2 linked regions of the Oreochromis niloticus genome follow. The protein of the gene in region 1 purifies or fractionates together with the protein of each later gene. This does not show direct contact. Links are inferred from orthologs where the notes say so. Each region holds a gene or a part of one and is shown in the gene's direction. Other genes may lie near its edges.

What was found. The genes of interacting proteins can lie anywhere in the genome.
Region 2: the proteins of nuak2 (region 1) and ppp1r12a purify together in Homo sapiens (affinity purification with mass spectrometry; 3 studies listed by BioGRID and IntAct, counting the BioPlex papers as one, with this or other methods). This does not show direct contact. The link is inferred for Oreochromis niloticus from reciprocal best matches to the Homo sapiens genes NUAK2 and PPP1R12A.

The regions. Positions count from the first base shown.
Region 1 is NC_031970.2:21,808,988-21,816,450, forward strand, and holds the start of nuak2 (NUAK family SNF1-like kinase 2), read left to right. Parts: upstream 1-4,446; 5' UTR 4,447-4,716; coding exon 4,717-4,956; intron 4,957-7,463. Other genes in the region: dstyk (dual serine/threonine and tyrosine protein kinase), read right to left, coding at 1-62. UniProt on the Homo sapiens protein: Stress-activated kinase involved in tolerance to glucose starvation. Induces cell-cell detachment by increasing F-actin conversion to G-actin. Expression is induced by CD95 or TNF-alpha, via NF-kappa-B.
Region 2 is NC_031981.2:15,912,183-15,919,827, forward strand, and holds the start of ppp1r12a (protein phosphatase 1 regulatory subunit 12A), read left to right. Parts: upstream 1-4,635; 5' UTR 4,636-4,746; coding exon 4,747-4,983; intron 4,984-7,645. UniProt on the Homo sapiens protein: Key regulator of protein phosphatase 1C (PPP1C). Mediates binding to myosin. As part of the PPP1C complex, involved in dephosphorylation of PLK1. Capable of inhibiting HIF1AN-dependent suppression of HIF1A activity.

The DNA.
Region 1 (7,463 bases):
AATACTCTCGTCAGTTCCCGAGTTAGAGGAGTCGTTTTCTGCTGTTGTGCATTTCCCTCCATGGTAAACAGACTGGGCTGCTGCTGCTGCCTTGTCCTCGATGCGACTTAAGTGGTCAGGTGCCAAACACCTTGAGTGAACCCGAAATGTCTTAATGCACACCCCTTTCCTTGCGCGCTAACTAGTTAGTTCACATGCTCGCCCAAAACCACCTGCTAGCATTTGTTAATTAAAAAGAAAGAAAGAAAGAAAAGGAGTCAAGTTAACAGGTAGTGTCCTTAAACATACATGAAGTAGGAGTGCGTCAGTGCTAAACGGTCCCCACTGTCTGTTGTGTCCGTGAATGAGAAGAAGGCATTTGTTGTTGTCCTGTTGACAAGCACGGCTAAGCTAGTTTCACGTCAAGCTTCGAGTGGAAGAAAACCGCTTCGAGTTATCGCTATTTAATCATTTTTACTTCCTTTTAATAGTCGCAGTGTTTTTTCATTACTAACAACAAACTTGCAAGTGTCTTAAAAACAAAGCACGCACGTAAGGCTACGTTGTGTCGGCCAAAATTACGCTAAGAAATCAGTGCTGCGACCTAGCTGTGGTCCACTGAAAGTTAGCGTTGCTAGCCAGAGGGCATCTCCGATCCGTCCCCGCCTTAGCCTGGCACGGCACACATATCCATTTAACCTGACGCGGCACACTTTCACAGCAGTGCAGCCCCGTGTTTAAAAGAGAGGGCCCGGCTTTGTCACCGACACAAACAGCCCGAGCACGACTTTAAAACAACAACACGAAAAAAACTCCGTTTTTCCAGAGGAGGCTGCGCTATAGACCGTTCCTAACCAACAGTGGCCCGGTGGAGCCAGCGGACATCCTCCACCCCAAACACCGACGACTGACAGTTGCCAAACCGAGCCGGGTGCTGTCGCTGGTGGTGACGAATAGGACGAGTGGGGCTGGTGCAGGGCGAGGAGTGTCAAAATCATATAGCTGAGAGAAGCAGGAGTGAAATCACAGCAAAACAGAAACTCGACGAGAGCGGTGTGCGGAGGAAAAGGCGGGGCCCAAGCGGCATTCTGGGAAGTGTAGGCATTAGAGAGAACGCCGTTTCCACCGGGAGGCGAAGATATAGACGGATGGAAAAAGGGGAATTATGAACGAAAAAAGACTAAGAGTGGAAAATATCTGGTTTACGGCTTTGTGCACACAGTGTAATATCTGATCAATAATAATCCCAGCAGAGATATAGATTTATTGATTAGTTCTCCGACTAATTCATGAGCACACGTGCATGTCCATCCTTGGAAATGAATGGGACTTGTCTTTATGTTCAGTTATACTATCACAGGCATCTACATTTGTTTTAATTATTTAGTTTAATAATTGGGTAATTCTAGGTCAACCAAAAGTTTCCTTGCTTTACTCGCAATCTATCCAGCATGTGGTTACCTCTCATACCACATGGGTTTATTTACATTCAAATCAAATATGAAATGATAGTTTTCATTTTTATATCACTCCACATGACAAACTTCTGCTAGACAAAGACACTAAGAACTTACAAGTAATATGGGGCTATTATTAGTCCCGTACCAAGTCGGCCCATTACAGTGAGAAACTGAGTGCAGACATGTGTCAGAACTACAAGCTGCTAGTGAGCTCCCTCTTCTGGCAGAAAGGTTGAATTACAAAAACATTATCTTCGAAAAGGTTAGTTAAGGTCAGATCAAATCAGGAATATTTTCTGTGCCAAAGCTTTATATGATCTGATTTAATAAATGTATAATATTTCAGATATAACGTCAGATAACACTAATAATATTTGGACATCACATGTGCAATAACTTTACAGATTCATTTATGTTCTCTTCTTGAAACTTCTTCTTCTTTCAGTTAAAAGGTTGCCACAGCAGAGCTTCTGCCTCCATCTCACTCTATCCCCTATCATCCTCCTCTGTCACAACAACCCTCCGCATTTCCTACTTCACTACATCCTTCACTGAATCACCTCTATGGTCTTCCTCTTGTCTTCTTACCTGGCAGCTTGATATTTAGCATCCTCTCAAAGGTCAAATGTATTTATATAGAAGATTTAAAACAACAGGGTTGACCAAAGTGCTATACATTAAAAGTATATAGCCCCAAGAAAAACTACAGTAAAATGCAGAAATAATTAGCATAAAGTAAAATAAAATAAAATAAAACCATAACATAAAATGCAATTGTCCAAAAGTATTTTACACTCTAATCAAATGCCAAAGAGAATAAATGTGTTTTTAATAAAGATTTAAATGTGTGTATCCTTTGTCCAATGCATCCACTGTCCCTCCTCTGCACATGCACATGTCTCCAAACTGCTCAGCCTGAGCTGTCCATCTGATCTACTCATTTCTACTTATTTCCATTCTCGTCACTCCCAGTGAAAACTTTAACATCTCCAGCTCAGCCTCCTGTTTTTTTGTCAGTGCCGCGGTCTCAAAATCATACATCACGGCAGGTCTCACAACCATCATGTAAATTCTCTCTTTCACGCTTGCTACTATCCTTCTGTTATAAATTACCCCTGACACTCGACTCCACTCACTCCACTCTGACTCTACTCCATCTTGCTTCTACTGACTTTCATTCCTCTTGTCTTTGGTGCATACCTCCACCTCTCCAGGCTCTCTTCCACCTGCTCCCAGCTCTCACTACAGATCACAATGTCATCCGCGAACACCACAGTCCACAGTGACCTTATCTGACCTGATGTCATCGCCAACAAAACATTTTTGGTTATCTAGCTGGTATTTTGATTTGATTCCCAACACAACAACATATAATTGACCAAATTACTTAGCTGCGAAAGCACTTTTATATTACTGTTCTCTTTTTTTTTCTACTTCACTGTCGTTTATTTGTTCAAAATGTTCCTCTGCATGCACGAGTGAATAATCTGTGAAACATTAGTGAGCGGTAAACAGAAAAAGGCCAACGATTTAGAACACTGGTTCCCAAAATGTGGAGCAGACCCCCTGCTGAAGCATAGCGCCGCTGCGGGGTGCACGGGCAACCAGAGTGGGAAAAACTGCAGTTCAAGTAAGTTTGACTAACATGGTTTATGCAAGGACAAGTAAAAGCAGCTTGTTTGTTTCAGTGAAATGTAATGCTGTTAGTGACATTTCAGCTTCTGAAGGACAATAAAAGTTTGAGGTCCTGTCAGTTAAAACAGAATGTGTGAACACGCAGCTTTGCTTGGTTTAAAGTATTAATTCATGAAGTTCAGGGAAGGCGGCTCATCTTGTCTTGACTGACAAACACTTGTCAGATGTTTTGCCTTAAGGTTTGTACTGAATATATAGTGATGAACGTGTGGCCTCGAATCAGGTTAACCAGCCTGCAGTGTTGCAAACAGTGACTGCATGCTGACCTCCAGTGGCCCATAGCTGCAACAACATTATTCATCTAAACGTTTTCTGTTCCAGATTTCACTTCTCCCAGCTCACCACTGGCTTCCCGTTTAGATCAGAATATCCAAATAAACATAGCTGCATGAAGTCAGTCAGGACTGAAAATGCGGTCCGTTGGTGGAATAGAAAAAAGCAAAACACAAAAACTCATTTTTTGACCTTGCAGATTTGATCTTAGAGAGCTGTGTATTTTTTCCACTTCATTGGAAATGAGCAAGAAGCAATGATGGGAAAGAAGCTGGCTTATTCATAACGTTTTAAGAGGATAGTTTCGAGGCATAAGCTCCATCGATTACACAGTGGTTTCAAAATAAGCAACTGTCAAAAGTAATGCTTTATTCCTGTCTAGGTTTTAAATACTCTAAACGTGCACAACAATGCTTTATAATACCACATACTCTCATACCATCCATCTGCATTTTATCACATAAGAGAATTATAGTATCATCTGTCATCCTTTACCTCATTTGCTGATAGCACCAATATTATAATCAACACTGGGTCATTTGCACTACTATTCTCATATATGAGATCTGGTGTGTGTTGCAAAGTAGGCCAACATGTCGGTTTCGTCAGACGGCGATCGTTTGAGTAAATTTACTTAAATGCAACCACTGGATATGTTGCAACTACCTGTTCAACTTCTGTGCCCCATTTGTTTTTTTTGTTTGTTTTGGGGGGTTTTTTCGTCTTTGTGGGGTGTCCTTGGTCTGTTTATGTGGAACACAGATTTTTACACCAATCACCCAAAAATTAAAAACTAAACAAAGCAAAACCAAAAAAAGGTTTGTGTGGGCATTAAAAGAGGTTACCAGGCAATACTGAATAATTTCTTCTTCTTCTTTTTAACATTAACTTTAAATAAAGCTGAAGCACAAATGTTATATACACGTAGCCCATAAATCCAATCTCAACTAGTTCACTTTGTTTGTTCACTCCACGGTGTGCGCGGTGCAGCAGATCCAGCGCTCCTCCCTTACCTGAAACTCCCCCTCCACTATTTGACGTGTCCGTCTGCGGGCGGTGCTCCGCCGCTTTCCCCCTCACTCTTGTCTACCTGCTGCCGAGTCCCAGCAGCATTACTGAGCTAACACGCAGATGTTCCAGTTCCTGCATAGAGCTTCTCGATCACACTAACCTCCAGTTCTCAGCTGAAGACTTTGTATCGAGACTTTAACCTGAAGCGTGCCTGCGGCTCCACACAGAGGGAATGCATTTTTAACACCTGGGTCTGAAAGTAAAGCGACACAAGACAACACCGCTGCCGGGGGTCGGCATGGATGCATTACGCGCTGCCCATCTTTCGTCAGCGTGCAGCAGGTCGTCCGTCGGGGGAGCTTTTCACGACGAAAACACACCCTTCGGGAAAGCTCAGTTCCAGGTGCCCGTGAAAAAACAAGCCGTGAAGAGGCACCACCACAAACACAACCTGAAACACAGGTACGAGTTTCTGGAGACCCTCGGAAAAGGAACCTACGGCAAGGTGAAGAAGGCCAAGGAAAGGTCCGGTAGACTGGTAAGCATGGTGTTGTTTTTCTTTTATTATTATTATTCGTAACCTGATCACATTTTACCTGCAATCAGTCTGAGGTCGGTGTTTGGGCTGCTCGTCCCATCGGCCACCTGTTGTTTAGACAGCGAGCGCTATTTTAGGTGACTGGCTGTCTGCAAACAGGTAGAGCACGTTTGGATTTGAATTTTCAAATAAAGGCGTGGAAACTCTACCGCAGAGCGTTCACTTTGAAAAAAGAAAACAGCAAAGTATTGCTGGATTGTATGAAAATAATATTTTTATTTTTTTTTATTAGGGCGGATTGTAAAGTAATAAAGCTGAAAGTGCGCCTGCCATCTCTCCTGAGGTGTGTGTTTATTGGCTAAAGTTTGCCGAAGGGTTCAGTATGTTTATAAATGATGTTTTCTTACGTTCACACTGGACTATACTGACCATAATCTAATAATTTCCTCCTCACCAGCCCGCAGACTCTTTCTGATCTGCTTGATAAGCGCTTGAATTTGGCTTAAGCGCAAATGCAATTATGCAAGCATCTGCCCATGCCTCTTCATGGTGTATTCAGGTTAAACACTGAGATCTGCTCCAGTTTGAGGTCATTATCATGGAGTTTCAACAGAACATTATCACAGGGCATTTTACATAACCTCTCTTTTTTTTTTTTAAATTTAGCCCATGTGAGGCACAAAAGAAAGTCTCTTGGAAAAGGCTGGGTTAGTTATTTTCCCCAGGAAACAGTTTAGGTAACTTTCTTTTTGTTGGGTTTTTTTTTTTTTTTTTTTTTTGATAAAAGGAACAGGAGGAGGAGATGCGGGGGTTGCAACTGGGCTTCCAGGTAAATTCCAGCTCTCCATGGCCTAAGGGGAAATGGGAGGAATTTAAAACAGTAGACAGATAAGCCCTTAAAAGAGTCATAAAAAGGAGGGGTTTTTTCCCCTTGATTATAAGATATCGAAGCACATCCTTATCAGAGTTTTATTTTTAGCTTGTAAATATTTTAGAAAGGAATGTGGAAGCGGGTTGATTATGATTGTGAGACCAGTTAAAAAATACTGTACGGGACTGGGTCAGGGTCATGTGGCACCACAAAACAAACCCTGACTCAACAACAACACTTAAAACCAGTTTAAACAAACCCACATAATAAACTGGCACCTGAGTTTATTTTTGGTGTACCTATTAAAATCTTTGTTCTCTCGATAAACATGTGATTTGCATTCGTCCTGCCTAATGGTTTGTTTACTTGCCGTGGCTCATCGAACATACTGGGAAGTGGAAAGTGTGTTAAAATGATCCAAATCAAAGCCCACATCTAGACTTTAAAATGAAAACTAAACATTCCTGCTGTAGAAACCTGGGGTTTTTCTCAGGAAGCCTGACTCGGTTGCTGTTTCATACTTTATCGGAAATGCCCTTTGTTAAAAGCCCTGCTTTAGTGTAAGTGAAAGTGGAGAAGTCAAGGAAGTAAGTGTTAGGAATCCCTTTCCCCTTCCCTTTGGTGCTTACAGTAAACATGCAGTGATACAAGTTGACCCGTGTCCACACACGCCCATCTCTGCTCTTTCACCGACTGGCTCTGCTGTTTTTATAAGAAACGAGTTGGTGTCTGGGATTTATCCCTGCCGGCAGCTTCCTGATGCCTCAAACCTGCAATTTTCTTTTCTTTTTTTTAAGTATCAAAACACTGATTAGCCCAAATACGCGTTTTCAAGCTCACACCCAACAAATGGCATTTAGCAGAGAAGCCTTTGCACGCGTGATTATTGACAACATAATGGACAGAGATATGTCATTTGACTCAGGGGAGTGACACAAAAACAAAGGGTGGCTTCATCTTGCGTGCTGTGGCATTACAGCTGTTTCCATTGTCTAAGTGCAAGAGTCTGATTGCATAATCCACTTAGGTGTGAGGTGTGGGGTGAGGTGGGGGGGTGTCAACATACATCAGGATAGGGCAGGGGTCAGCAACCTTTTAAGACCCAAAGAGCCATTTGGACCCAGTTTCCACGTAAAAGAAAACACTGGGAGCCGCGAATACTTTTTGACATCTAAAATGAAGATAACACTGTATATATTGTATTTTACCTTTGTGCTTTGTGTGAACAACTAAGGTGTGCTGCTTATGAAATCCATGAAGTGCTATAGAGAAAATTACATTTTATTTATGTAATTAACACATTTTGAACTCTTAAAGAAATATAACAAAAGGAAAGACACCCAGGTGAACTAAAATGATCCATGTAGCAAACAAAAACTGTTGTCAGCCGCCACCCATATATCGCCTTTGGGCTTTTGGAGCCTTGACCTGACTTTTAAAAAAATAATTGGAAAAAAAGCACTATGCTGCTGAAAAATGAAAAATAGATATTTGCAAAATTCTGCCTAAATATGTATTTTACCTGGTTAATGTGTGTGGCGGGGCATGTTCTGCAGCGCCGCTGCAGGGGAGGCGGACGCCCTGAGCGGCACCCGCAATCACGCCTCACCGCCTTAACGTCTGTGCTCTCTCTGCT
Region 2 (7,645 bases), on another chromosome or scaffold:
GACTTTAAGTAGACTGTAAATAAAAAAGAGACTAATGGCAGGAATATCCGTGAACGACCGGCACTGGCTACAGCGAGGAGCTAGCAAAGCAGCACAAAAGAGGAATCCTATTATTATTTCATCATTTTCACACATTTTAGACATTTTCAGTTCACAATACTCATTAAATACATTTCCCTACATGGAAAAAAGAAAAAAAAAAGTAGACTGTAGCAGTCAGATGCATGGCACTTATAAGGAATATTCAAATCCATTGATGCTTTTCCATTGTTTTGGTTTCAATACAAATTTAAACATGTTTGGCAAGATCGGACGCAGCAGAAATGAAACACAACCAAACCTACATCCATTTTAGTCGTAGTAGTAAGTAGTAGCTGGGACCTAGCCCAGCTGTCATGAGTACACCCTGGACAGATTGCCAGTCTATCACAGGGCTAACATAGAGACAGGATGCCATCCACACCTATGACCAACTTAGAATTGCCAGTTAAGCTAACATGTATATTTCTGAGTGTGAGGGGGAACCTGGAGAACATGCGGACTCCACCCCGTCACATATTCAGAGCCTGGTGTTCATATGTTGACAGGGACTGGAAAAAATAATCTTACGAAACAATCTTTTCAAGCAACTGAACCAAAACCTCCAAGTAAGCACATTTTTTTGCTGTTTGTGCTGTCTGCAGCTCATAAACTCGCTGATGTATCACACAGATACACAAACACCTACACACGAGACTCTCTTATTACATTCAGAGCTGGAAGTGACCCACAGCGCTCGCCTTGTTCTGTCAGTCACTGTGAGGTCGACTCTCCCTGCCAAACAGCAGCTTGCACATCACTTTCCCTGCAGCCCTCCTGGTATCAGCACACTGAAGCCACTGGCCAGCAACTTCCTGACGCTGACGTTGTTGGTGTTCCATATCGCTCTGACTCATTAGAACCGTGCAGATTTCCCATGACATTTGTGTAACAGCCGAGCTGAGTGTCTTCTAAGTCCAGTTTACTGTGCTTTTAGGCAGTAAATGCTTCTGAAATGAAATAATATTGGGTTTATGTGTACACACGCCACACAATGGCTCATGGTGGCAGTTGTATAAATGTTTTGGTTCATGATTTTGCTTGAACAGCTTGTTATTCAGGATGTCAACTTCAAGTTCAGTTGGAGGGGGGCACCAAATTACGCACAGAGATTACCTTTCTCATTTTTAATGTCTTTAAACAGAAAAAAACCATCATTAAGTGACACCCTGCTGTAAAGAAAACAAGAGCGACTGCATGCTTCATACCTACAACTTGACGGCAACACCGCACCCCCTGCTGAGTACACATGAATGTCTGCCAACAATAACTCATGAGGGTGCCAAAAAACAAAAAAAACAAAACAAAAATCACATGCACTTTATGTACCACCCTGTTTTCACTCCAGATTGAACTGGACCACCCTGGTGCTTAAGTCTACTAACACTTCAAGTGTTCGCCATCAAATCATCGCAGGTACTCTGTAATAAGACGGCTTCCATTTCCCTTTGGGGAGCGATGTCTTTTTTATGACATGGAAACTAAACGCGTTACATAGTTGGAAAAGCCGTTTCGTGAATCTGGGTGGAAGAAAGGGGAAATACCGCCAAATGAGAGTTTGTTTAGTTAGCATGACAAAATTCCTTCCACTTCCTGAAATGAAAATAGCCACATCTGTAAAAGTTCATTTGAACCAAAACGATGATAATGAAGCATTTAAAACAAAAACAAAAAAAGATCTTTGTACACAAATACATAAACTGAAGAGAGTCACAGTGTGACACAAAGAAAAAAAGTAATTAAAACTGTTTTTAAGACAGGGTAAAGGTCTTTGGCAGAGGGAAATACATATGAAGATGGAAAATGTTGTAAATCGATCCACTAAAAAATAAAGTGCAGAAGCATATGGGGTGCTGGATGGAGCACAGGAAAAACTCTGAGTCGGTGTAGGTAGCAGATTTACAGGGTGGCATACAGTGGGACATATAAGTGAGCGCGTGCATCTAAATGCATGAATTTGCCTTTGTAGGCTGCCTTGATTCAACGACATGATTTTCCTGTGTTTTTCCTTACTTTCCCAATTTCAAAATGTCTTTCAAAAATACAAAAATAAAGCACCTTTATTGTACCACTTATACGCTAAAGGGCACAAATGCTTTCCACTGGGACGCTACTCTCTGTTTGTTAGCAGCCATGTTGTTTCTATCAATCCTGATAATTTTATACCTCAGCATAAATTTGGTTGGGATACAGTCGATGTTCTCGACTGTCTGTTTGAGCTGTCCAGTTATATAATACTAAGGCAAGTTCCTTATTCCAGCAGGGTTATTGCTGAGAGTATGTTACATTTTTTTTCTTTATATTATTATTATTAGTAGTAGTAGTAAGCTGCTAATGTATTAATATTATACTGTAATATTATAGATAAAGCTTCCCGGCAGTATATAATTACCAGCTATGGAGAGATTTTGTGTCAGCCAAATGTTATTACCACAGTTGCACAAAGGGGTAATAAATGGATGAAGTGACTGTATCAGTATACATACAGAAGTGATGATATTTTACATGATGTGCAGATAACTGCAGATAAGAATACAGGTGTGCCTTAAATCTATCCACGCCCTTTAGTGTGGCTTTGGCACCAAATGTTTTGAAAGAACCACCCAGAAGAAAGGGGAAACACCTCCACTGAGACAGTCTGTTTAATTCGAACAATAAAATCATTTCACTTCCTGAAATGAAAAACAAAACATGACTTTTGTAAAACTGATGGTTCATTTGAGTTGCCGCTGATTGTAAGACAACATAAAAAGACTCAATCAGCACTAATTCAGCATAAATAAAGGACAAAAATAAATAACAGACCCAAGACTCTGCTATAACTTCATAGTGATGCTACTAGAATACAATGTATTTATGATATTCTTTGATTTTCATGCAACAGCCTCCATCAGCCACAGAGCAACTTCGTTACATAGTCACCAATTGGCAATGCTAAAAAATGATAACTACAATGCCATTTGCCCTCTCCATTATTGATGGGTTTTAGGGGTCCAGACCTGCCTAAAAATGTGAATTGAGCCCTCTGAGCTGATTCTACAACCATTAATTAAATCAAGTCAGAAAGTTTGGTAATGAAAAAGTAAACACCCATGATGCCATAAAGCTGCGATGTAAGTTATTGCAGCACAAGCTGAAGTTAATTATTTGGTTAGCTGTAGTTTAGCGCTTCTGCAGCAATAGCAGTAACCAGCATGATGGAGAAGGGCACTGACGTTGGAACAGATGGCTCTGTGGAGGTTACAGTTTGGAAAGTACCTTGTATGTCGTTTTGGAGCTAAAAACAGGTCATTCATCTGGTTGTGCAACTACTCTATATGGACACACGTACTGGGCCACACCTCTTTCGAATTCAGATGTGCTCAGTCCCATTGCCACAGGTGTATAAAGCAATTCTGACTGCTTTTACAACATTTGTGCAAGAATAGGTCATTACAAAGATTTACTGAATTTTGTGTGATCAAGTATAAGTCATATCAGTAAAAAGTCAAAGCGTTAAGGTATCATAGCAGCTGTGAAGTTACAAGTGCTCTGGCGCATAGTGCAGAGTTGCATACCTCCTGTGGCATTAATATTAGCACAAAAGCTGTGCACCAAGAAATTTGTGGTATTCATAGGTTTCCAAGGAGAGGCAGTTCCTAAAAGTGTAATGTGTAGGTGGCCAAGAACTGTTGCTTTCTTGTGTGGCAAAAGAGCTAATTAAATTCATCTGACATTAAATATTTAAATATACAGTATATTATGCATTTAAAGGAGATCTGACGGTATTTCAGATGAGATACATGCTCTTTTCTGAGTATAATGAGAATACAGGTGTGCCTGAACGTTTTGGCTCGCCTTGCGATGTACCTTTAGCACAAAATGCTTTAAAAGAACCACCCACAAGACGTGGAAAACATCTGCAAAGAGTATGTTTGTTTAGATAGCATAATAAAATGCTTTCTGCTTCCTCAACTGAAAAGACAGGGGTGACGTCTGTAAATCACAAGTTAATTGATATGATTGCTAAAAAAAAGGACGGGACACACTGGAGAGATTATGTCTTATGTCTATGATGGATTGACAAAAGCAAGGTGTTGTGGGTGCACGTGCCACCCCATTGAAAAAATCCTGGAAACGTCCCTGATCCAGACCTCCTTTTCCTTTCCTTCACCCACAGAGAAGGTGGGAAGATTTGGTTGTTCTTACAGATAACACTGTTTTCTACTGCAGATACATTCACTGACATGTGGTTTTACATCACTTCTGTGTTCCCAGCTATATCACAGCAAACAGTAGCCTAGAGGCGGTCAAAAAATATTAGCTACTGCACGTTAGAGAGCCTCTCTTAGAATTTTTTTGTGAACCCGCAGAAGGTTATGCAATATTTTTAAGTAATCTTGTCTTATTTGGTGTGCACAGTCGATAAGGATTACCCTGCTCGCTCACTCACTCACTCTCCCTTATAATCCGCTGATGATGACGTTATACTGCAGTTCCTGGGCTTCAGATCTCGCGAGGTTACGGGAAACAATCCAGACGCGCTCTCTCTCTCTCTCTCTCTCTCTCACTCTCAGTTCCCCCTCCTCCCCAGCCCTCCCTTCCCACGCCCCACTGCGCTGTGGGATAGTGGCACTATAAAGTATATCCTCTCTCGGCGAAAGATAAGAAGCCCGAGACAGGAGGGGGATGAAGATGGCGGACGCCAAGCAGAAGCGGAATGAACAGTTAAAGCGATGGCTTGGCTCGGAAACGGACCAGGAGCCTCCTGTTTTGAAAAAGAAAAAGACGAAGGTGAAGTTCGATGATGGCGCCGTGTTTCTGGCCGCCTGTTCGAGCGGCGATACCGAGGAGGTGCTCCGAATGCTTGACCGGGGCGCTGACATCAACTACGCCAATGTAGACGGTCTCACCGCCCTCCACCAGGTTTGTGTTGGCCTGCCGTGTGTGTTTATGTCAGCAGCTGGTACCATTAGACATAAATATCGACTGGCTGCTAGCAAAAGCTTACCCTGGTACACCTGTCAAATGGAAGCCATTCTCATCCCGTTGTTTACCTACCTAGCATACTCGTCCTTCTCGAAGCAGAGAAGGGATGAACCCGTTGGCTTCCTCCTGAGGCTGTTTAATTGGTAAACCGCGCTAACTATGCATACACTTGCCTGAGTATAAGTGGCAAGAAGCAGCAAAGTCAAACACCTAATTTCCAGGGCTAATTCTACTTCATGCCTCCATAAACTAGCCTGAGTCTGTAGGTGCAGTCTAATTGCAGTACTGCTGCATTTTTCGGGTTGAAACATTGGCTCGGTTTTATGTTGTAAATGCAATCAAGCCAGACAAGCACCTAGTGTCTGTGTGGTCCATTGATTATTTTCGGATCCTACTTAGTGTGTTTGGAGCTTAATATAAATGATGTTCATGCAGAATGAACCCAGCAATAGATGGCTGCTACCTGGTTAGCAGTAAAAGTCGTTTTGTTGATAAACCCTCCCCGACTGTGGCTACTCTCTGGAGAGGAAGCAGAAGCTACCTCGCTAACTAGCTTCAGATACAACGTCATTCAGATACAGGCTAATGTTACGATTGCAAAACAATGATTGCTTGTCACTCTAACTTAAAAAATGCATCCCCTCATAAATATTGGGCATATTAGTTTAATTGCCAGGAAAGAGTGAATGGTAACAGCGCAGTATTAGCCCAGCGGATTGTCTGCTAACGTACTTTAGCATGCTAAGATAAATGTCGTTAGCTGTGTGGGGCTTTAGCTGAAGTTAATTCATTCATTAACTGACCGGAGAAACGGCGTCAGCGGTAAATTATGGGCCTCATAATTTTATGCTGTTTTGTGTATAGTTAATCGGAAACGGCTGTGTCGTTAGCGCTTTTGCTACACCGGGATGTTAGCCGTGCCAAGCTAGTCATTTGCCCGCTAACTGGGGTAGCTACTTTGACTAGCATCAGTACTTCCACAGCCGATAAACTGAAAATGGCACCTCATCTTGATGGGTTTTAGGCGGTATGAGGTAGTTTCAGTCCAAATGGGTTAAAAGCCTGATTTGAAAGCTTTATAAACCACCATGGATCCAGTGATGGAAGTGGGTTGCTTGTTGGTGCAGTAAGCTTACATAAAGTTGTGACCAGGTTAAGTCCAGTGAGGTGTGCAAAAGCTAGACTAGAATTAAAACTTAAATAACAAAGAACCTGATCGTGTAATTTATGAATTTGTTTCTGTTGCTTCAGATGTAGCTTTTACCATTAAACAAGTACACTTATTTTAAAAACAATAGGATTTAATAACATGTTTTTCAGTTTGTGCTTAATGGATCAAATGATTACGGGTATACTGTTAGCTTTTACAGTGACATTTTCATAAAGAAATCTTGCTTATTTTGTACCAAGAACATTGCAGTTAAGTGTTTTACTATTTGGTGGAAATAAGCAGGGTGAAGGGTTTGGGGGATTTCCCCTTTCTGGACTGCATGTTTCTGCCTCTGATAAATAATTTGTCATTCCCACTGGAAAATAAACTTTTATCCCCCCCCCCTTTCCAGGATTTTTGCAGTGTCTTGAAACAGTCAACAGTGCAAACATCAGTCCAATCAGAAACTGATCTCACTTTCAGTGCTTGTGAGGCTGCTGGGGTGAGATGATCAGGATCTATTCCATTCCAGCTTTTCATTAAGCCAAACTGTAACGTTGGATCTCTGGGTCCAGAGAGTTGCAGAAAAACCTCAGAAATATTGTGTGCCAACCAGTTGCCTCTGTGTTGACATCTGAGGTCTCTCCAAAGGTGATTTGTGCAGCTTCTTCTTTTCTTCTTTCTTCTTGTTGAGTTGCGGCTCGGCACCAGGACTGTTCTCTGCAACATCCTGCAGTCGTTTGTCGCCTTTTGCATGATGGCGCAGCTGCTGTGATAGGCTGATGGAGAGGGGTAGAAGCATTTTGTTTAAAAAGATCAACCTTAACCTGATCTTCGTTCACAAGTTAGAACATGCTGTCGAACATATTACAGAGTCAGATAATTTCCACATATTTATTAACACTCAAACTGGAAAGTGTGCTGCTGATCTCAGAAAATGAAGTCTCCTTCCCTTTACAGAGACTTTATGGATTCGGGTAAAAGAGGGTGATGTGTTTTACATTTGGGGTTATTTCAAATTAATCATTAAAGCTATGAAGCTAACATCCTCTGAAGAGGGAAACGGTGGTTGCCCCTCTATATATTTTTTTTATTTTTCTCTCCCTGCATATTGCATCCTGGATATCAGTATTTTAATTTGAAGAAATAAAGGATAATGCTGGTGGAAACGAGCATTTGTTTATCTTGTTTGCACTAGTGTGGATAGTGTTTACATGATGTAAGGATGTACAAAACTATTCACATTAAATGTTTTATACTTGCATAGATCTCCTGTGATGTCACTTCATTACTCATGTCCACATGTCTCGTCTTAGTAATTATGAGCACTGCTTTATGCACCACCTTGCTCCCATGGTGTGTTTGTTCTCCAAGACTTACGCCACTGCACAGATTAAAAGTTTTAAAAGCAGGTTTTAAGGCATGGGTCATCAGCTTTATCCGTATGTG